Linked DNA regions of Rhinolophus ferrumequinum. The protein of the gene in region 2 binds, or shares a complex with, the protein of the main gene of each other region. Links are inferred from orthologs where the notes say so. Each region holds a gene or a part of one and is shown on either strand. Other genes may lie near its edges.

The links. The genes of interacting proteins can lie anywhere in the genome.
Region 1: the proteins of REV1 (region 2) and POLH are in contact, whole or in part, in an NMR structure (PDB 2LSK), measured with the Homo sapiens proteins. The link is inferred for Rhinolophus ferrumequinum from reciprocal best matches to the Homo sapiens genes REV1 and POLH. Residues at the interface, in NP_057400.1 of Homo sapiens: Asn1158, Leu1159, Ala1160, Gly1161, Leu1171, Leu1172, Trp1175, Ile1179, Asp1181, Pro1182, Met1183, Glu1185, Asp1186, Gln1189, Val1190; in NP_006493.1 of Homo sapiens: Thr528, Glu529, Pro530, Phe531, Phe532, Lys533, Lys535, Ser536, Leu539.
Region 3: the proteins of REV1 (region 2) and POLD3 are in contact, whole or in part, in an NMR structure (PDB 2N1G), measured with the Homo sapiens proteins. The link is inferred for Rhinolophus ferrumequinum from reciprocal best matches to the Homo sapiens genes REV1 and POLD3. Residues at the interface, in NP_057400.1 of Homo sapiens: Asn1158, Leu1159, Ala1160, Gly1161, Leu1171, Leu1172, Glu1174, Trp1175, Ile1179, Met1183, Glu1184, Glu1185, Asp1186, Gln1189, Val1190; in NP_006582.1 of Homo sapiens: Gly232, Asn233, Met234, Met235, Ser236, Asn237, Phe238, Phe239, Gly240, Ala242, Ala243, Met244.

What each region holds. Positions count from the first base shown.
Region 1 is NC_046286.1:12,894,548-12,902,058, reverse strand, and holds the start of POLH (DNA polymerase eta), read right to left. Parts: upstream 3,175-7,511; 5' UTR 2,938-3,174; intron 2,730-2,937; 5' UTR 2,599-2,729; intron 115-2,598; 5' UTR 111-114; coding exon 1-110. Other genes in the region: XPO5 (exportin-5), read left to right, coding at 3,514-3,618, 4,926-5,047, 6,031-6,103, 7,476-7,511. UniProt on the Homo sapiens protein: DNA polymerase specifically involved in the DNA repair by translesion synthesis (TLS). Due to low processivity on both damaged and normal DNA, cooperates with the heterotetrameric (REV3L, REV7, POLD2 and POLD3) POLZ complex for complete bypass of DNA lesions.
Region 2 is NC_046296.1:4,736,353-4,744,141, forward strand, and holds the start of REV1 (DNA repair protein REV1), read left to right. Parts: upstream 1-4,659; 5' UTR 4,660-4,856; intron 4,857-7,789. UniProt on the Homo sapiens protein: Deoxycytidyl transferase involved in DNA repair. Transfers a dCMP residue from dCTP to the 3'-end of a DNA primer in a template-dependent reaction.
Region 3 is NC_046294.1:49,482,158-49,489,634, reverse strand, and holds the start of POLD3 (DNA polymerase delta subunit 3), read right to left. Parts: upstream 3,175-7,477; 5' UTR 3,020-3,174; coding exon 2,960-3,019; intron 988-2,959; coding exon 932-987; intron 1-931. UniProt on the Homo sapiens protein: Accessory component of both the DNA polymerase delta complex and the DNA polymerase zeta complex.

The sequences.
Region 1 (7,511 bases), on a different chromosome or scaffold from region 2:
ACGACTGCACAAGGTTTATTCCTCAAATGAGCATTCTGCCGCTGCTCCACTTGAACAAAAAAACAGTCCATGTCCACTAGAGCGACTACCCGGTCCTGTCCATTGGCCATTTTTCTGTAAGACAATATTTTATGGACAGTTAAAAAGGATACCTAATCCAAAGTGCCAAGAAAAATTGTATTTCCATTCTTCCATTGCTGAGTTACCATGAACATGAGAGCCTGGAAACTAACAAGAATGAAATAGGCATTTTCATCTACTGCTAGAAGGAGAATAACAAATTGGCTCACTTTGGGGAAGGTAATAAGTATTAAAAGCTTTAAAAATATCCATCCCCACAAAGGACTGAACACTTCACAAAAGAAGATACACAAATAGTCAACAGGCACATGAAAATGAGCTTAACATTTAGTCACAGGGAAATGCAAATTAAAACCACAATGTACATCAACAGAGAAATTAAGCCAACAGTTAATCCACTTCATAGACAAGTCTCAAGTTCAGGGAAAAGGGAAGCAGAAAATGATATATAACAGTATAACATTCATATGAATTTTTTAAATTTTTTATTTTGAAATAATTTTAGACTTGCAAACATAGTAGGGTTCTCTTACCCCCAGTTTCCACTAATGTTAACATTCTACATAGCACAATGATCAAAACTAAAAAATGAACACTGGTATAATATTCAACTACATACTTTACTTGAATTTCACCAATTATTCCACTAATATCCTTTTTCTGCTCCAGGATCCAATCTTAGTCATCATGTCTCCTTAGTCGTCTCCATTCTGTGACACTTCCTCAGTCTTCTCTTGTTTTTCATGACTTTGACACTTGTGAAGAGAACTAGTCAGTTACCTTGAGAATATCTCTCAATTTAGGTTTGTCTGATGTCTTCTCTTGATTACATTGCGGTTATGCATTTTTGGCAAGAATATTATGGAACTGACGTGCTCTTCTCAGTGTATCAAACTGGGTGGTACGTGATGTCAATATGTCTCATTACTGGTGATATTAACCATGATCATTTAGTTGAGATAGTGTTTGCCAAGTTTCCCACTATAAAGTTACTATTTTTCCCTTTGTAAGGAATATTTTAGGGGAGATACTTTGAGAATATGCAAATATCCTGTTTGTCCTCATACCACAAAGCACCATCAGTGAATCTTGCCGGTCACAATTACTTTGCAGTGTTCTATTGGTGATTTTCTACCCATTCATATACATTTCTTAAAACAAAAGAGAACAATACTGCATACTACTCGAGGATAGACATCCATAAAGGTATGGATGGTCGATTGGAAGGACAAACCTTATATACTCGATAGTGGATAAAGACTAATATTATCATTGGACATTATTATAAATCTGGAGAAGAAATGTTAAATTCACACGGTGGCGCCCAAGTTTTGCTGCAGATTGGAATCACCTAGGATATTTAAATAGTATTGATATCAGCTTCTACCACCAGATATCCTAATTTAATTGGTATGTATGTGACTTGGGCATTGTGATTTTTATAAGCTCTCCAGGCAATTCATAATGTGCAGCTCACAATAATGAGACAGAGAACCACTGACCTAAAGTAAATAAGATAACTTATGAAAACACCAGTAATTCACGATTTAAATATGAGAAACACAGGTTATACAGTTGAGTAAGCACTCAACTGTATTCTTTTAAAAAAAAAAGTGTCAAAAATTAACATTCACCTTGAAAAAAGTGGCATGCAACTACAAACTGGAAGATTAGTGGAAAGAAAACAATGAATTTAGGGGCGGCCGGATGGCTCAGTTGGTTAGAGCGCAAGCTCTCAACAACAAGGTTGCCAGTTCAATACCCTCCATGGGATGATGGGCTGTGCCCCCTGCAACTAAGATTGAAACCGGTGACTGGACTAGGAGCTGAGCTGCACCCTCCACAATTAGATTGAAGGACAACGACTTGGAGCTGATGGGCCCTGGAGGAACACACTGTTCCCCAACATTTCCCCCCAAAAAACCAAAACCAAAACCAAAACCAAAAACAAAACTTAATTGTAATTATTAAAAAAAAAAATGAATTTAAAAATCAGAGTGTCAAGGCATTAATTCCTTATAATTCTACTTACCTAAAACAGGCAGAATGTGATACTTTAAACATGTATAAGTTAAAAACCGTAACATGTCAGAAATCACTTTACCTTGAAGTGCCTTTTGCATAGTACTGGAACGGATGATGCCAGAATAAAAATAGTAAATGCATTTTCACAGAAAACCACCAGGTACACGCCATGTTACATATAAATACCTGACGTGAAATACGAATAGGAGGCAGTGATGTAAGTCCAGCAAACATATTAATCACCGAGAATACAAACACAAAAACTGATATGCAGGCTTTAACAGCTCATGAAGCTGTTGAAGTTTCCAGTTCATGTGTTTTGCTGGAGAAAGCAAGAGCTTTTTAAAGATGGAGAAAGAAACACTCTCCGCCAAAACGCTCCTTTCAGAATAATGGTTACACTATATATAAGTTACACTATATATGGTTACACTATATATAAGACTCTGAAGTCTTATATATAGCATTTCAAATGATTCAAGCCGCACAAACCTTCAATACTTGCAATTATTCATCTGTAACCATCTCGATTTATCCCGATCTGCACAAAACAAGTTTGGTGCTGATCAGGTGACTAACACATCCCAGGAAAATAAGTACAAGTGAAGAGGGAGGTTTACGAGCTATAGAGAAAAACACAATTTTTTTTTTCCACAAGAAAAATCCTCTTGGATGACAATACCCGGGCCTCATCTCTCTGTGAGCATGTATTTCTATTGCATGCAATTTCGGCCCAATGTCACCATCCAACTGCTATATCATAAAACCAATAGCCAAGGCAACACGAAAAGTTTGAAAACAGTGATGATGAAAGTTTTGAAATTCTCTTACCAATGTGGCAAACACCTGGCAAAACTGCCAACCGCGGATGCCGCCAATTCTGAGCTTGGCGTCCACTGGAAGGACGATGAAGAGGTCTTGAATATCTGTTCCCTTTCCGGGAGCAAGCCAGGCGGTATCGAGAGAGATTTATTCCCCGCAAAGATGAAGAAACGGACCAAGGTTCGCAGAGGATCCTTGCCCGGGCAGCCGCCGGCACACCCGGGTGGCTTCACCTCAAGCCAGCGCGCTCAGCAACTGACAGATCTCAGGCAGCGCGCTCGCCGCGAAGGGCGTTGACGCGCCTGCGCACCGAGGCCCTTCCTTCTCCCGCTCCGCCCACCGAGGAGCAACCGTCACCAGAAAGCAGCCACTTCCGCCGGCGCGTGCGCATTGGAAGATCGAGCGCGTGCGTAGCGCCGGTTCGTTCCCGGCTGGGGCTCCTGCGGCTCACGCTCCTCCTACCGCTCCCCACTCCCCCCAGCCCGCCGCGGCCCGGTACCAGCGTGTTATCCCCGCAAGGGAGCGGTCCGTGCCTTGTGCTCCCAGGACTGCCGTGGTGCGCTCTCGCGGCGCGTGGCAGTAGCCATGGCGATGGATCAAGTGAACGCGCTGTGCGAGCAGCTGGTGAAAGCGGTGACCGTCATGATGGACCCCAGCTCCACCCAGCGCTATCGGCTGGAAGCCCTCAAGGTAGCTGGGGTCTGGCGCCTGGGCCTGCCGGGAGAGTCTTCCCCAGCCCTGCTGTCCCGGCGCCGCCCACGCGGCCCTTAGACCTCCCTCCCCAACCCCGAGGGGCCTTCCTTGCCGCTCTCCGCGCCACTTTCCACTCCCGGCCGCCTCTGCTCGCCGCGCCTACCCCTTTCCCGGGACGCTCCGGTCCCTAGGTGCTTTTGGCGGTCTCATCTCACCACCACTTCCCACTGCCCTCTCCTCCCCCTTTCCCCACTTCTGTTCGCTGTTGACCGCACCACGACCCCCCTCCACAGCTGGCTGCAAGTCTTTTATTCCCCCAAGCCCCACATCCCCTCGCCTTCCCGTGGCGCACGTGTCCATCCCGTACCCAGCAGCAGCTACGTTCTTTATGGTCTTCCCTGCCCTAAACGTTTCCCCGCTAAGCCCCTCTCCTGACTTTCCCTAAACGAGCTCCAGCCCCCTTTTACTTACATTCATACAGCCTCTCCCTAACCTTGTGTGTGTCTTGGGTGTTTCAGGGCTAATTCTCACACACCCTCATCTTAGGTTTTTTAGTGTCTGATATTCTTAGGCAGTTTTGCGCAGAGGTGAACTTCCACCACTTACTTTGCATTTTAACAAGGGCACTTTGATTTCCTGAAAGTAGTTGTCTTGAGTCCCGATGCTCTGCTCCCAAGACTGACTGTTGTGTCGCTACAATATAAGCCACAATATCCCGGCATCAGTTTATGTGGGCTGTGAGAAATGAAATGGCCATTAGGAAAAACGACTTGTGCTGTGCATATTTTAAGTGATGTACAGTGAGCACCACTTGGAGGAAACTTTACATACATTCATGTGTGCCACAGGATTTGGAATCAAATAGTTGGGTTATATTTGCTTTTTACTATGAAATATTAAAAAGATACAAAAGTAGTGAGAATACTTCAGTGGTCTTAGGTGTATACCCATTGCCTAAACTCAGCTGTTACAGATTTTACCGTATTTACTTTATCGCTCCCCCCACCAAAAGTTTTTAAAGCAAATCCTAGAAATTGTTGTTTCACCCCTATATACTTCAGGAGTGTATCTCTAACATAATTTTTTACTCTTTTAGGTCAGATTTTTTTTTCAACATTGGTTGGACATTACATGGGAAATCTGGAACTGTGAACATGAAAGGAGTGTTTGTTTTTTACTCATATAATATTGATCTAGATTTTGTACTTAAAAATGTAGCTCAGGTTGGAGTTTGTTAAGAAGAAGTTTTTTTTAGTCCCGTCTCTCTTGGCTCCTAAGGGAAATGCTAACTTTTATTCTTTCAGTTTTGTGAGGAGTTTAAAGAAAAATGCCCTATCTGTGTCCCCTGTGGCTTGAGGTTGGCTGAGAAAACACAAATTGCCATCGTCAGACATTTTGGCCTTCAGATCCTGGAACACGTTGTCAAGTAAGGAGCTTTTGGATGTTACCAGTGAAGTCTGTGAGAGAGCAAATCTCTATTTCTTATGTAACTCATAGAGATACTCTCTAGGTGAGTAGAAAAGAGCAATCCCCAAGAAGAAAGGATTGATTCCCAAGAGGTCATCACAGCCTTATGGGAGTTCTCATTCAGGACTTAACCTTTCTCTTCTTCAGTGTCTTTATCCATATAAAAAGTATGTGGTACATACTAAGCATTCTGCAAATACTAGCACGTAGTCATTCAGCCAGCAATTATTGAGCTCCTGTTGTATGTCAGCAGACCTCAAAGTCTTTAGAATAGACCTTTTGAGCCACACTGTTGCTCAGGCCCGCTCCTATCTCTTTGGAGTGTATTTTCGCTTCTAATAAACTGCACTTTCACCACTGTTAAAAAAGTCTTTAGAATAATGCAATGTGTAGGTAAACAAATCTCTGATTAGGCACTGTGCCTTTAATTTTTTTTTTTTTTAATTTGAGTGTATCCAAAGCAGGATTATATGAGAATAGCTGAAAACTCTTCCTAAATTGAGTCTGCTACACACGCTGCCTATCAGAAGAATCAGTTTTTAAGATTTAGCCAGTTTTTCTGGAATTGTGCTGTTACCTTGTAAACCATCACAGAAAGGGCATTCATAGTATCTGAAAAGCAACTACAGTGTTGCAGTCATCCCAGATGTGTATCTGCTTTTGGTCTGTCAGGGAAATCAAGAGGGAAGCTGATCTGTGCACAAATCCTGTGTGGATTTCAATGAATGGACCACTGCCTATATAAAACTCTTTCCCAAGAATTCTTCTGTTAGCATTTTGGTTAAACATGGACTGTTTTTATCTGTTCTTGGAAGGGTATAAAATCAAAGTATAATTTCTTAATAAAATCACCAACATAATCTAACAACAGGAATCTAATCTAGTCTCTTATGAAGAGAAGACTTCTAATGTGGTTCTGTCGACTGTGCTTTTGGTGGCCAGGTTTCGGTGGAACAGCATGTCTCGATTGGAGAAGGTCTATCTGAAGAACAGTGTCATGGAACTGATTGAAAATGTAAGGAATGATTGGTTGGAAGACTTGTGTTTCCAAAGTAGTTTAGACAAAGTATGACTTCTTTAATGTAGCATTTGTGTAAAAACTTCACTGGTTCTACATACATGAAACAGCATACTTTGTATGATAGTAAATGTTTCCTTCAAGGTAAAAAGAACGACCATCACAAGAAATCATAGTTATCACATTTCTCTTACTTGGTTTAATTAATCCCTTATTGTTGACTTCTGTTTTGAAAATTATGTAGAGACGGGGCAGAGGAGGTAAGACATTTTCGGCAAATGAGTAAGACTCTTAGATCTAAATTAGATTGCACTTTGCTGCTTGTTTCCTTTTATTCCAAACTTACTTATTCCAAATGCACTGTATGATGAACAATAAAAAATAATGCAGAATGCATTTGTTTCAGGAGTTAGAATATGACTTTAAATATGTTTAAAATCCACAACCTTTTTTTTGTCTTTTTTACAATGGGCATGAAAAGTGGAATTGCTACCGCTTTTTGTTTCCAAAGTCTGGTGCCTTTAATAGAAAAAAATTTTTCCTTCAAAATTATTAATTAACTTAGCTAGCTAGGATTTGTATTTTGCTAGTTCTACGGAAACTTGATAGAAGTCATAATTCATTACTCTTGATATCAAACTAAGGAGAGTCCCAGTAATAGTCTTTCTGTGTTTTCTAATACCGTGTTTCCCTGCAAGTAAGACCTAGCCAGACAATGAGCTCTAACATGTCTTTTGGAGCAAAAATTAATATAAGACTTGGTCTTATATTAAATAAGACCTGGTATTATATCATATCATATCATATGTCATATCAGATCCTATCATATCATACCTGGTCTTATATTATAGTAAAATAAGACCAGGTGTTATATTAATTTTTGCTCCAAAAGACAAATTAGAGCTGGTTGTCTGGGTAGGTCTTATTTTCGGGGAAACATGGTACTAGAACTATTGGTAAAATAGTCCAGTGCTCCTCCTGACTCTCCCATTTTATCAGCCCCTCAGTGTACTTCTTATTTCTGTATTCTTCCACGCTGGCCTCCTTAATGAAACAGTCGATATGAGAGTCTGCTCAGTTTCCAAAGGAGAACAATGATGTCTTCCTTGCTCTGTGTAACAGCCATTTTATTAGCTGGCACAACCCTCCCTTTAAGTGGGAAGAATGATTAGTGAGAATGCAGGACAAGTGAGTCAGACGTGGAGAACCAGTTTGTTTATTCTGTTTACTTTAAAAGCAGGCCTGCTGATGAGTTTTTACACTTTTGTAGCCCCGATTTTTCCTTGCAGTCAGTCTTGTAGACTTCTTACTATCTTTTTTCCTTGCAGTCAGTCTTGTAGACTTCTTACTATCTCTCATTCTTTTTCAGGGAACACTGAACATTCTGGAAGAGGAGAACCATATT
Region 2 (7,789 bases):
GATTCTTCCCTCTAAAACCTGCTCTTCCTCCAGTCTTCCCCATATGACAGCCATAGGGATTCGTTTAGAAAGTAAATCAGATTATCATCACTCCTTTGCTCAAAACCCCATGACACTCAGGATATAGGTCCAGGGCCCAACATGACTGGCTTTCTGCCATCCCCTTAGCTTCATCTCCAACCAATCCCCTCTTGGTTACTCTTATCTAGCATCACTCTCTTTAAATATTGAGGCATATGCCCAACTTGGGGCCTTTGCCCCCACTATCCTCTGAGCCTGGAATGCCCCTCTCCAAGATACCTGCATGGTTTCTTCTCTCATTGCCTTTGGACTCTGCTCCAAAGACTCCTGACCAGAGAGGGCATTTCTGACCACCCCCTGTAAATATACTCACCCTTCCCCAGCCCATCCTCCTTCCTGTTTTACCTTTCTCCCTAGCACTGACCACTACCTGATGTTTACTGACACAGCTTTTGCTTATTGATCACCTTTACCTTCTAAAAAGTAAGCTCTAGCAGCACAGGGACTTCACTCAGTTTGGTCACTGCCACATGTCTCCAACAGTCAGAACAGACCTAGGAAGAATCTACCAAAAATCAGTTAAGCCCTTTTGATGGCCTCACAGCTGGTGCTTTCAGATGCTGCCCATTCCCTGCCCCCAGAAGAAGAATAAAAGTTTGCTCCTAGAGGGGTAGCCGGTTAGCTCAGTTGGTTAGAGCACGGTGCTATTAAACAACAAGGTTGCCGGTTCGATCACCACACAGGCCAGGGTGAGCCGCGCCCTCCCCAACTAGATTGAAATAGTTACTTGACTTGGAGCCGATGGGTCCTGGAAAAACACACTTAAAATAAAGTTTTAAAAAGTTTAACAACAACAAAAAAGTTTGCTCCTGAAGAGACTGATCTACAGAAAGTCAGGATTGAAGAATACAAGGCAAATTGAAGGTGGGAACGCCTGGATGAAAACGGGATTGAATGAAAGTGTACATGGCAGAGGTTGAGATGCCCAGGGTCCTGCCTAACGCCGTCCTGCTCCACTTGCACCATAGAGCCAGCAGCCAACTTTAGTCTCCCTCAGCAGGACTGGAGGGTCCCCAGCCAAGAAGCCAGCTGACACTCTGATTGTCTGCTAATGAAGCCCATCACTCAAAAGGCCTTTCCATGCCACACAGCACTTTTTAGGGCCTCATGCTTAAATATGAACAGATAGCCATTGTTGTCAATATTTGAGGAAGGTGTCTGTTATGGAGTAAATCATATCCCACTCTCCAAATTCATGTGTTGAAGCCTTAACCCCCAATAGTACTATAGTTGGAGATAGAGCCTTTAAGGAGGTAACTAAGGTTAAATGAAGTCATAGGGGTGGGACCCTAATCCAACAGAACTGCTGTCCTTATAAAAAGAGGAAGAGACACCATGAATGTACATGCACAGAAAAAGGCCGTGTGAGGACATAGCCAGAAGGCGGTTGTTTGCAAACCTAGCAGAGAGGCCTCACCAGAACCAACCCTGTTGGCACTTGATCTTGGACTTCCAGACTCCAGACTGTGAGAAAATAAATTTCTGTTTTTTAAGTCACTCATCTGTGGTATTTTGTTATGGCAGTCTAATACAATGTCTAATGTGAAAGAGAAGAACCAAACCAAAACAAATAGAAGAGAAGAAATAGCGACATAAGGAACAGAAGAAAACTTTTGAAGTAATTTATATCATTCTTATCCATAGAGGGATAAGAGGAGACCTCAGCAATACAAACAGAATGGTAATTTTAAACAATTAAGGAACTTTCACAGTGCAAAAAGGAGCTCTTTGAAATGTAACATATGATAGGAAGGTTTAAAGTTAATTGAAGATTTAGAAGACAAAATTGAGGAAATCTCACTGAAGGCAGAACAAATAGAAAATAGGAAAGAAAATTTTTTCCAGCTGTATTAAAGTATAATTGACAAATAAAATTATATGTATTTGAAGTGTACAATGTGATGATTTGATATATGTACGCTTTCTGAAATGATTACCACAATCAAGTTAATTAATGTATCTGTCACCTCACATTTTCCATTGTGTGTGTGTGCGCACACCCTGAGAATGATCAAAGTCTGATCTCTTATGTCTGCAATCATATATTATAGGGATATTGGCCTGTAATTTTCTTTTCTTCTAGTGCCCTTGTCTGACTTCATAAACGAATTTGGAAGTGTTCTCTTCTGGCCAATTCTGGTTCCAAATTCCTTTCTAGTTTCTGTAGGCTTGTGCTCATCCTGCCTTGTTATTATATCATATTTCAGCATAATGGGCTGAATGACTTATAACAATCACCACTATCGCTCTTTCCTACAAGTAATCACATGAGTTACTGTGGTACATCACCCAAGGGACCTGCGTACAAACCTCTGTTCTTTAATGGTTTCATGTTTTTATTTTCTGTTTTTGGTATTTGAGAGACTAGATATGGAGGTTTCCAAGAAAAGTTTACTGCCAATTAAAGGATAGCAGAACCATGTCCGTACCCAGGGCTGTCCTGACAAGGGTCACTTGTCTGCACTTTCATAGGTCCCTTGAGATGTCAGTAATAATAGAAATTTCAAAATGAATTTTAATGAAGTTCAGAAAAGAAGAATAAGGTGGAGTGCCCCAAAGCACTTCCTGAAAAGTGGGAGTCCAGGATGGACATCTCAGTTGCCTTACCTGAAAGGTCAGGTCAGCCCCCCTTAGAATGGGAAAGATAGTCCTCACGAGATAAATGGAAGTAGATGAATGATGAATGAATGAATGAATGCAGGTGATTGGGTAAAATTGAAATAAAGCCTCTTCAGACATTGTGTACTATATATGGGATAGCATAACATAATATTCTAGAATGGACAAAAATAAAACTTGGGCTAAATTGTACCAAGATTCTAGAGTTGGTATACATTTTATTTATGTACTCTTCATTACTCTTTTATCCTATTTATCTAGAAAGCAGTGTGAATTGGAGGCTGCCTACTAGTTTGCACTAAAGTGCAGTTAATACCATCTTACTATAGTCCTATAAGGTGCTGCCAAGGTCAGTTAACTTAATGCTGTGTTTCTTTCTTGAGAAAAATACATTTAAAAAATACTGCTGACTGGAATAGGAGAGAATGGGAAAGGAAATTGAAATACAATGGTACACTTCCCATAGAGTTCACAGGTTACTTTCAATGTGAAAAGCGAGTTTTGTCATTTCTTGTTAATAGAAACACTGACATTTAGAGATATACATTAAAAAACTTAATTATTATAATAAGGGGTTACCCCTGTTTTTCTAGGGCATTTCAGTAGATACCCAGATGGTGCAGTGGACAGCTGTTTGTGAGCCTGTTGAAATTACGCCAATTTGTATTACATTATGACGTCTTAGAAAAGCATGCAACTTGAATTTGCTGGGATAGAGACAAGAGTACTGAAGTTGACGCGCATTTATAAAAAGTCTATCAAATGGCAAAACAAAAGGACTTGGAAAAAGAAAACAACCCATGTGAATATTTTCCCAGCTCCGCAAAATCAGCTTTCAAAAAAGAGTACTGGTTTGTTTCATAAGTACTTGTAAACTCTTCGGGTGCCTTAGGTAAGGGAATAAGGGGGAAAAGTGTCGTCATGCACCGAGGATCGCTTCACGTTTGTGCATTACAACAATAAAGACTATTATGATGGCAATGTGGGATCTCCTGGCAAATCGACATTGCCGAGAGGGGGGAAATGGTCCTTATGGGACAACTGTCTTGCTAGAAGGCCCTCAATTACAATTGTATTTAAGCTTACATCATGTACAACATATATTTTTTAATATTAGCAGAAAATTGCTTTCGCGTGTAACCCCAGTGCTGCATGTGAGGTGGGATACCCGCCGTAGTTTGCAGATATCCAGGTGGACGGGGAAAGGAGTTTGTTGTGCCCCTGCGGGAATTGACAACGAATCGCTTACACCCCTTGGCGCAGTGCTCATTCCCACCAACCCATGTGGGCGGTGACTCTCGGTTTCTCCGACATTGTGAAGTGTCAGGTCATGTGTCCTTTCTCCACTAGATGTCACTGTAAATCAATCGCTCGTGGAGGGGGAATCCATGGTTTGAAGTATGCTCAGAGAGCACCAGGGTTTTTAAGCATGGTCAGTCCCTGCGCTTGTCCTCTCCGACTGGGGAGCGCGGGCAGGGGCGGCGGGGACTCGCTGAAGGAAAGCAGTGCCCAGTCGCAGGCTGCGACTCGAGCGCGAAGTGCGGAGGTCGCAGGTGCGGACGGCTGTGCGATGCGGAAGGCGGGACCGCGCCGCTTTCCCACTCCGCCGCCAACGAGACGGTCACGTGCCGCGGCGGCGCTGCCTCCGCGGACAACTGCGTGAGAGGAGGGCGGGGCCCAGGGAGGGGCGGGGCGGCCTTTGCCGAACTCTGCGGCGCCGCGCCCGACGTTCGGGGTCGCCTCGGGCAGGGCGCGAGCGAGCGTGTTGCGCCGCGCGGGGGTGAGTGCGGGGCGGGGGTGGGGCCAGCCGCTCCGGCGCCGCGCGCTCAGAGCAGGACACGGCCCGCGGTGGGGAGGTGTGAGGGCGGAGCCAGGGAGCGCGCAGACCGCTGAGGGGAGGTGGGCGGGGCGGAGCTGCGACGCGCGCGCCCGCCGGAGGGGGAGGGGCGGGGACCGCCGCGGAGCGCGCAAGGCCGGCCTCTGCGAGCGTGGGGCGAGCGTGGACCGCGGCGCGGCGGTGTGACTCCTTCCCCAGCCCTCCTCCCGGCCCAGGCGACGACAGTGTGCGGCGGCAGCGGCGGCGGCGGCGGCGCCCGGGTCCGCGAAGCCGGACGAGGCGGCTGTGCCGGGCATGGTGGTCTGGGGCAAAGCAGAAGGTGAGCGACCCCCGGCCGGCGGCGGGGTGGGGGAGGGGCGGAACCGGACACGCGCATCCCAGAGGCGCCGCAGACCCGCCCGGCGGCGGCGGCGGAGCACGAACTGCTGAGGCGGGGCGGAGGGGGCGCGCCGGCCGGACACCGCGGCGGTTCCCTGGAGGCCTGACGGCCCGCCGCGTCCCGAGAGCGGCGGTCGCCGGGTTATGTAACGGTGACCTCCCTTCCCCCTCCGCCATGGCGCGACCTGCCGGGCCCCTCACAGGGCCACCCGCAGAGGCGCCGCGCGACTACTGGTGCCCGCGGCCCTGCCCTCCGCGGCCCGCCGCGGACGCCTCCCGGCCCCGCTCCGACTGCGCCGCAAACTCCCTTTCCTGCGCCGGCGCCTCGCCGGCCATTCAGCGCCGCGCCATTCATTGGTGCGCGCGTTCGGTCGCTGGTTCTTGGAGCAGCGCAGGGTGTCGGCGGGGGCCGAGCGCGGTGTTCTCTGCCATCTCCCGCCACCAGCTCTCCTCTCCGTTATCTCTCTGTCAAACACCCCCGCCTCCCATTGGATCCCGGAATCGGGGTCGGAATACCCGAAGGCACCTTTTATTCACTTGTTTTTCCTTGTTACTTATCTGTTGCCTTCATGTGAAGGGCACCTTTCCCCACCTGTCCGTACGAGAGTCCCTTTCATACTTGCACTCACTGTTGAAACAAGTCAACCCAAGTATAGACGGAAAGGGACGTTTCCTTATGTAGTTCGCTGCTCTTACTACCTAAACCCAGCTGGTAAAGAAGTACCTTAATAGATCACTCCTTAATTGATTCCCCTTTATTTTAAAAAAGAATTGGAGATGGTATAAGTCTACTCTTTCTTCCACGTCTGCTCAAGTCACGTACAGAGTAGAAATGGCATCATTTAGGTAACAATATGGACCGGCACATACCATGAAAGGACTTGCAACTATTAAGGGCTTTATGGAACTGTTCTTAATTCTGCGTATGAGCCTGGTCTCTCTGATCTCTCCACTTCAGCCTTGGAGAAATAGCCATTTCCTCTGTAGGTAGGGTAGGACATAGCATAACCTTGGTTCTTCCTATGGCATGCACAGTAACCCATCTTATGGGTAGTACTGTTAATTCCCTCTTTTCCAAACTTCCCGTCTCTGCTTTCCGGTAGTCTTTTCTTAGCCGGTGCAAATGCTGCTAGCGTGTTCTCTCCCTATACTTCCTATGCTGGACGACGCAAGCTCACCCAAAGTTCCTGTTCCAGGAATCCTTTTCCGTCTATGAGGATATCTTCCATTCAGTACTTAGGCTATTTATTTGCCACTTTTGGTTATCTTTTCATCCACATACTGTTTTTCTGAGACTGTCTTATAGGTCTTGAGGGCAGAGTCTGAACTGAACTTGTCTTTCGTGGTAGAACTTTTCACCTGTCTTATGGTAAACAATATATATTTAAGATTTTTTCGTAAACAATACGTATTTAACATTTAACTTGGAAATCACTATTTTAGGATAAATTTCGAGTAGAAAATAATTTTTTAAAAATAATGTGCTTGAATATGGAAGATCATTTCTTCTCACCTCTAACTTCAAAACTCAAATTCTATGTAAGAGAAAGAAACCCTGTCCTCACCAGGAACCACCTAGTCGTGAATAAATTAGGAATGCTTCATATAATACACATTTGATAGTCCTTTCTTTGATGGCTGCTATAGTAGAAAGACAAGAACTTCAGAGTTAGACGTGGATTTAAATTCTGCTCTGTCCATTATTAGCTGTGTGACCTTGGACAACTCAAAATTTTAAGATCTGATATTTTTCCTCGTAGAAAAGGTCTCATTCCCACCTTGGGTAGCTGAAGATTAAACGTAAGGCATCTAGTGAGTCCCTGGTACATGATGATGCTTAGTACATACATATTCCCTTTGGAATGCCTCTTTATTGAAATTTACACTCTAGAGTGAACCAGGATGTGCTGGAGACAAAGCAAGAGAAGAAAGCTAATCAAAAGAGGTGATACATACCTCTTCTTGTCTCCAAATAAATAAACAAGCCCTAAACTAAATAGCGGTAAAGGTCTTTCAACTTCTCAAGAATGTATGTGGGCCGGCCCGGTGGCTCAGGCGGTTGGAGCTCCGTGCTCCTAACTCCGAAGGCAGCCGGTTTGATTCCCACATAGGCCAGTGGGCTCTCAACCACAAGGTTGCCAGTTCGATTCCTTGACTCCCGCAAGGGATGGTGGGCTGCACCCCCTGCAACTAGCAACGGCAACTGGACCTGGAGCTGAGCTGCGCCCTCCACAACTAAGACTGAAAGGACAACAACTTGAATCTGAATGGCACCCTCCACAACTAAGATTGAAGTAACAACAACTTGATTTGGAAAAAAGTCCTGGAAGTACACACTATTCCCCAATAAAGTCCTAAAAAAAAAAAAAGTATGAGTGTGTGGTGTATTATATATCATAGACTATATTAAACAGGACATTTATAAATGAAGGAAATACCTTTTAATCTTCTTTTCCTCCTGGAATAGCACCAACTGAAGCATTAACATGGATATTAAAAAAGAAGAATCTGATTTTCAAGTCAGCAATGGGGGATGAAGGGAGGAGGAATATAAAAAAAGTCTTTTTTTAGAGATAGTTAGGTTTCGTGTTCTTTTAGTATCTCATCTACGTATAATCTGTACGTGAATCCTAGTCTAAGGTCCAGTGTCTCTTCCTTACACTGTTGCAACAGTGCCCTCCCTGCTATCCCTGTTTTTGCACCCTCTCTCACTAATCCCCCGCATAATAATCGGAGTGATCTTTTAAAAGTTATAAATCCATTTTCTTGCTCAAAATCCTCCCCAAGCTTCCTATAACTCTTGGAATTGAATCAGAACTTTTTACCACAGCCCATCAGGGCATTACATGATTTGGCAGCTGCCAGTTGTACCCT
Region 3 (7,477 bases), on a different chromosome or scaffold from region 2:
TAGCAACGGTAATCTTAGTCAAAATCTGTCCAAATGCATCCCTGTGCAAATTGTTTCAGGTCGCGAAGGCATAAACATCCAGTCAAAATCAGACTCCTAGATCTATCAAACAGCAACACAAATAAAGCCAAATCAACCCATTCTAGAGATCAGGGATTTTCTAAGACTCATGGAACATTCCTACGATTCAAGGAATAGGGAAAAATCAGACCACCTTCAGAAAACAAGCTAAATGAAGTATTTGACTCAATATGTGTGTCAGCCTGTTCACCAACTCCTCCCTTCCTTTGGGGCATAAACAACATCTGCACATTTACAGGTCAAGAAATTTTGAAGTGAATTACAAAATTTCCCTTTTGGCCTCACATTGGACTACAAGCTTCAGCAAGGAAAGGTGATATAGCAAAATTCATGAAGGGCAGTGCTCTACACCATCCTAACCACTCCCCTTTTTAGTTTCACTTAAATCGTTGTCCCCATTTTCTACTGTTACACATACAGCTTGTGTCAAACACCTGTTGACCTCATTATGGAGGTATTTCAATAACACCCAGAGATGGGCCTAAGGAGCATGTGTGACAATGTCATGAAGCTGTAAGATACCAGACATAAATCTGAGATAGAAACAGAACTGGCTAGCCCATTTAATAAATATGAAATAACAAAGTGATGTCAACCAGTGGGCAAGACTACACATAAAGTCAGTAAATGTATTAGCACACATTTGCACACAAGTCTACTAACCTCCTGAATAACAGACAAAAGTAGTAAGATGTAGTAAAAATAATATTCTTTCCCATTTTCTCAGGGGGAAAAAAAAAGTTCTAACCTAGAGGCTATCTGTAAAGCCAAAAACGCAAAACAACACAAAACAAAAAACAAGCAAAGCAAGACTCCACTGTGATTAAAATTAGTAGTAAATTGGACTTACTGTTTGGCCTGGTTAACATGAACACCTAGTGTATAGCTCAGCCATTTGTATGTCACCTGCAAGAAAAAGAACTTTTTTAAATGTTTTATTAGATGACTCCGGAGTACAGGTCAATTCTAAAGGCTCCTAAAGATTCCTACTCTTAGATGATTATGCCTTATAAATAATACTAAATACCATTTGTCATGCAGGGTGTCATGCTGGGTCTCAGCTCCCGCTCCCCACATAAGAACGCAGGACATCATGAGGCCAAAAAGGAACACCCACAGAGCCATAGATAGGGGAGTCATACCACTATAGTCTCGCTGGCGGCATCCGCCGTGCTAACTGCAATCCGCGCCTGCTAGCTCAGCCTCCATCTTCTTGCTAGCCCCCATTGGCTGCTAGCGTAGCCACAGCAGTTATATTAGTGGCCAATGGCTCACTGGTTACAGCTGACGGCCAACTAGCCACAGGTGATGGCCATCCAATCACAGTTGATGACCATTTACTGCCTGAGTGAGCACCTTTCCACATGAGGCCGAGAGCCTGGAAACCACTCCTGGCTCTGTCCCCCACTATCCCAGTTTTACCAAGAACCATCCATCTGGGCAGGCAAGACTGACATATTTATCTTAACAAATACTAAAAAGCTTGTTTTACACCAATCAACGCAAAGAGTCTAAAGAGGAAGGCTTACACCGTGTTTCCCTGAAAATAAGACCTAGCCGGACCATCGGCTCTAATGCATCTTTTGGAACAAAAATTAATATAAAGACCCGGTATTATATTTATTACATTATATTATACTATATTATATTATAAGACCGGGTCTTATATTAAAATAGTATTATAGCATATTATATTATAAGACCCGGTCTTATATAATATTATTAATTTTTGCTCCAAAAGATGCATTAGAACTGGTGGTCCAGCTAGGTCTTATTTTCAGGGAAACATGGTATATACATCAAAGAAAAAGTTCTTATTTTTCTTACACTCCATGTTTTGCTTTTTTTATTTCACATTCTGCCCTTTTTGTTTTGGGGGCCTCCACCGAAAACAATCCTAAAACTCACCCAGAAGCTAGATTACTTTGAAGTGTATGAGTCAGAAAAACTTCTAAGGATAGTTGCAGCCATACAAACATTAAAGAAACAGGTGGTGCATGGGTCAGGAAATGAATGGGGTGGATGGATTCTGTATCAGAGGTTAGACTGGGAACTCCGGGGGTCAAGCCTAGAGCTTCCATCCTTCCCTAGCTCTACTGTCACTCCTCTCTCCAAAGTCTTCCAATTCAAAATGCTGAGTTTCCAGTAACTGGAAGTATTACATAGGTTAGGCAAAGACAGTGTGATGTGTAACATAAGAAAGCATTAGCAACAGAGACGGCCCGAAGTTGGTAAACTGCCTATCCCTTACTAGCCACAAATAAAGAAGTTAGTTGGCCCCTCTGCTTCAACTGCCTTTCTAAGAATACTTCTACCGACCTCTGGCTGGGTCACTGCATAGATGAAATGCAATAATGTGTGTCCAAAGCTCACAGGAGGCACTCAATCCTCACACTGGCAAAGTGTATTCACATCCACTGTCCCACTTGATCTTTACCCTTCCTGAGACAGGTCAAGCCTGTATCAATACCAGATTTCCAGTAAGAGGAAACCGACTGCTGGAAGGTCAAACAGCTTGTCACTTAAAACCCGTGCAACTTCCTCAACTGTAAACTTGGAGCTTTAAATTCCAACCACCTTATCAGACAGGTGTAGAGACGCCTTAGAAATATTATCAATCGATGCTCCTCCCTCCACGGCCCCTAGTCTGTGCAGCGCCCAGCACGCCCACCCAATGGACGCGGACTTGCGCGCGCGCCTGAGGCCCTCTCTGTCGAGTCTTCGCTTGCCCTGGCGCGTGGGGGGACCTGTTTCCCTCCGCCAGTCCCCACGAGAACACACGCAGAGGGGTCAAGGCTCCCACCGCCCTCGCCGGGCCCAGGACCCCCGTCCTAGCTCCCCAGTCGCACGCCCGAGTTCCCCAGTCCTAGCTCCTCACGATCTTGTTCTGGTCCATGACGAACTCGTCTATATTTTCCAGATAAAGCTGGTCCGCCATGGTGCTGCAGCGCCGCGCCCCGCAGTCTCTGAGCTCCCCGCGCCGCCACAACCGCAGCTCCCGCCGGCGGGAAACGTCTTTCCTCCAACCCTGGGCCGGGGTCGTCTCCCAGAGCAACGGAAAGACGCGCTACGGCGGCCGCCTGGGGGCCAAACTAGTCTGAGAGATGGCGCTTGGCGAAGTAGGTGGAGCTAGTCGGAGCGGGCGGAAGTGAGGAGCTAGGAGGGCGGGCGTGGTCTGGGGCGGGCTGTCTGTGGAGCCGATTCAAATGTTACCTCTGCCACTTAGTCACTGACGCGGGGAAAATACCTGACCTCTAGGAGCCACAGTCTTTCCATCTGTAAATTGATGAAAGAATCCTTGCCTTTTCATACCTTTATTCAACAAATATTTATCAAGTACCTATTCTGTTGCAGGCGCTTGTTAGGCACGGGGGACACAGCAATAAACAACAAAGTAATAAATACGGTAATTTTAGTTGAGTGATGCCAGCTGGGATAAAGTACTGCTTGTTATAATCTCTCAGAATTGAGAAATTAGGAAAGGTTTTTCAGAAGAGAGAGGCAGTGTTTCGAATAGAGGCAGGAGTATTTGCTGGGAAGAGAAAAGAGTTCATAGTAGTTGGGCTGTTGGGGAGAAAGGCCAATGACGAGAGACGAGACTTGGGAGAAGCCAAATCATGATGCCTCTACAAGGCTGTGCGAAGGGGCACATGAACTTTATGCTCAGGAAAAGTTTTCAGGTTGGGGAATTTCAACTAAAATTTCTCCTAACATCAGTTAAAAAACCCTTAATAATTAACTTAAGCATTCGCCAGTGTAGTTCAATATGGCGGCATAGTGGATAACCTGCAGCCTCTAAGTTAGACCCTGGATTTGAATCCTGGTTTGGGTATTTGTGTGATCTTAAGTAAGTTATTTAACCACTGCACGCCCATTTTGCAATCTATAAGATGGAAATAATAATATTACCCACTTCAAAGTTTTCTGGCACCATGCATTCATTCAAGACAGCTGGTAAAAGCCTACTAAGAGCCAGGCACCGTTCTGGGTGTTGGGGTGCTAGGCATACAGCTGTGATTAATAATACGTGGAGTCTGTTCACATGTAGCTTACATTCTCCTGAAGATATTTAAGTGAGGGATGGTAGTGGCTGAACATAGGATAATGGTAGTAGAAATTGAGAGAACTGAGTGACTTGGGTTTTCTTTTTAGAGTCAGCAAAACCGGATGATGAATTAGATGAGTAGAGCGTAGGAAAGACAGGAATCAAGAAAAATACTAGATTTGGAACCTTAATTTTTAAGTAAATGGTGATGCTTTGTCTACTGAGATGTGAAAGACTGAAAGAGCAAATGAGAATATTAAAGAATTCTATTTGGCTAGAGTTATAAATGAGATAATATACATAAAACCCTCATATTTACTGACACACAAAATCAATAACATTTGGCTATTACATTACGGTATATTAGGCATACTGTACCAGGTGCTTTTTTTTTTTCTTTTTCCTAACTCTTTTAAAATTAATTTATTAGGATGACATCGGTTAGTAAAATTACATAGGTTTCAAGTGTACAATTCTATAACACATCATCTGTACAAATGCATATTGCATTGTGTGTTCACCACCCAAAATCAAATCTCTTTGTGTCACCAGATGTTTGATATTCTTTACCCTTTTCTACCTCCCTCTCCCCACTTTCCCTCTGGTAACCACCAAACTGTTGTTTGTGTTTATGAGTTTTTGTTTGTTTGTCTTGTTCATTTAGTGATTTCAATTTTATATCCCATATAATGAGTGAAGTCATATGGGTCTTGGCTTTTTCTGTCTGACTTATTTTGCTTAATCTCAAGATCCATCCATGTTGTTGCAAATGACAGTATTTCATCTTTTCTTATAGCTGAGTAATATTCCATTGTATGTATGTACCAGATCTTCTTTATCCAGTCACCCATTGAAGGACATTTCAATTGTTTCCATGTCTTGGTCACCATGAATATGCTGCTATGAACATAAGGGTACATATATCTTTATGGATAAATGTTTTCAATTTTGGGGGATAGATACCCAGAAGAGGGATTGCTAGGTCATATGGTAATTCTATTCCTAATTTTTTGAGGAACCTCCATAATATTTTCCATAGTGGCTGTACCAATTTACATTCTCACCAGCAGTGTATGAGGGTTCCTTTTTCCCCATAACCTCTCCCACACTTGTTGATAATAGCCATTGTTATCTTCTTGATAATAGCCATTCTAACAGATGTGAGGCAGTATCTTATTGTGACTTTGATTTGTATTTCCCTAATAGCTAGTGAAGTTGAGCATATTCTCATATACACATATCTGTTGGCAGTTCGTATGTCTTTGGGAGAAGTGTCTATTCAGGTCCTCTGCCCATTTTTTAATCAGATTTTTTTTTGTTGTTGAGTTGTATGAGCTCTTTATATATTTTAGATATTAACCCCTTATCACAGGTGTTGTTTGCAAATATCTTCTCCTATTTGGCTGGTTGCCTCTTTGTTTTGTTGATGTTTCTTTTGCTATGCAGAAGCTTTTCAATTTGAAACAATCCCATTCATTTATTTTTGCTTTATCTTCCCTTGCCTTTGAGGTCAAATTCATAAAATCCTCTCTAAGACCGAGTTCCATAAGTTTAGTACCTATGTTTTCTTCTATGAATTTTATTATTTCAGGTCTTATATTTACCTCTTTGATCCATTTTGAGTTAATTTTTGTGTTAGTGACAAATAGCAGTCTAGTTTCATTCTGTTGCTTTCTAATTTTCCCAGCACCATTTATTGAAGAGGTTTTTGTTTCTCTATTGTACGTTTTTGCCTTCTTTGTTGAAAATTATCTGCCCATACATATGTGGGTTTATTTCTGGGTTCTCAATTCAGTTCAATCGATCTGTGTGTCTGTTTTTTTGCCAATACCATGCTGTTTTAATTATTGTCGCTTTCTAGTATAATTTGAAGTCAGGGGATGTGATACCTCCAGACTTGTTCCTTTTTTTCCAGATTGCTTTGGTTATTTGGGGTCTTTTGTGATTGCATACAAATCTGATAATTTTTTGTTCTATTTCTTTAAAAAATGCCATTGGGATTTTGATGGGAATTGCATTAAATCTGTATATTGCTTTGGGTAATAATATGGCCATTTTAACTATGTTGATTCTTCCAATCCATGAACACTGAATATCTTTCCATTTGTTTGTATCTTAAACTTCTTTCAATAATGTCTGGTAGTTTTCAGTGTCCTTTAAATCATTTGTTAAGTTTATTCAAAAGTATTTTATTCTTTTTGTTGTAATTGTGAAAGGAATTGTTTCCTTCATTTCTTTTTCTAAAATTCCATTGTTAGTATATAGGAACACAATGGATTTTTATACATTGATTTTTGTATCCTGCAACTTTACTGTATTTGTTTATTGTTTCTAATAGGTTTGTTTTTGGAGGGTTTTTTTTTTGGTGGAGTCATTGGGGTTTTCTATATAAAGAATTATGTCATTTGCAAAAAGTGACAATTTGACTTGTTCATTTCCAATTTGGATGCTTTATTTCCTTCTCTTGCCTGATTACTCTGGCTAGGACTTCCAATACTATGTCGAATAGCAGTAGTCAAAGAGGGCATTCTTGTCTTGTTCCTGATCTTAGAGAAAAGCTTTCAGTTTTTCACCATTAAGTATGATGCTAGCTGAGGGTTTGTTACATATGGCCTTTATTATGTTGAGGTACTTTCCTTCTATTCCCATTTTATTAAGTGTTTTAATTAAAAATGGATGCTGTATCTTGTCAAATGCTTTTTCTGCATCTATTGATATGATCGTATGACTTGTATCCTTTATTTTGTTTATGTGGTGTATCACATTGATCGTTTTGCATATGTTAAGCCATCATTGTGCCCCTGGAATGAACCCTATCTGATTGTGATGTATGATCATTTTTAATGCATTGTATTCAATTTGCTAATATTTTGTTTAGAATTTGAATCTGTATTCATTAGAGATATTGGTTTGTGATGTTCTTTTTTGTGTGTGTTATCCTTACCAGGTTTTAGTATCAGGGTAATGTTGGCCTCATAAAACGAGTTAGGAAGTATTGCCTCTTCTTCAGTTTTTTGGGAATAGTTTGAGAAGGACAGGTATTAAATCATCTTTGTATGTTCGGTAGAATTCACTAGTGAAGCCATCCTGAACTTTTACTTTTTGGGTGGTTTTTAATGATTATTGCAATTTCCTTACTGTTGATCAGTCTATTTAGATTTTCCAGTTTTTTGTGGTTCAGTCTAGGAAGGTTATATATTTCTAAGAACTCCATTTCTTCAAGGTTATTAAATTTGGTGGCATATAGTCTTTCACAATATTCTTGTATGATCCTTTGTATTTCTGTGTGTACCAGGTACTTTGAAAGTGAGATTTCATTTAATCCTCATAGCAACTCTGCAAATGCCTTGT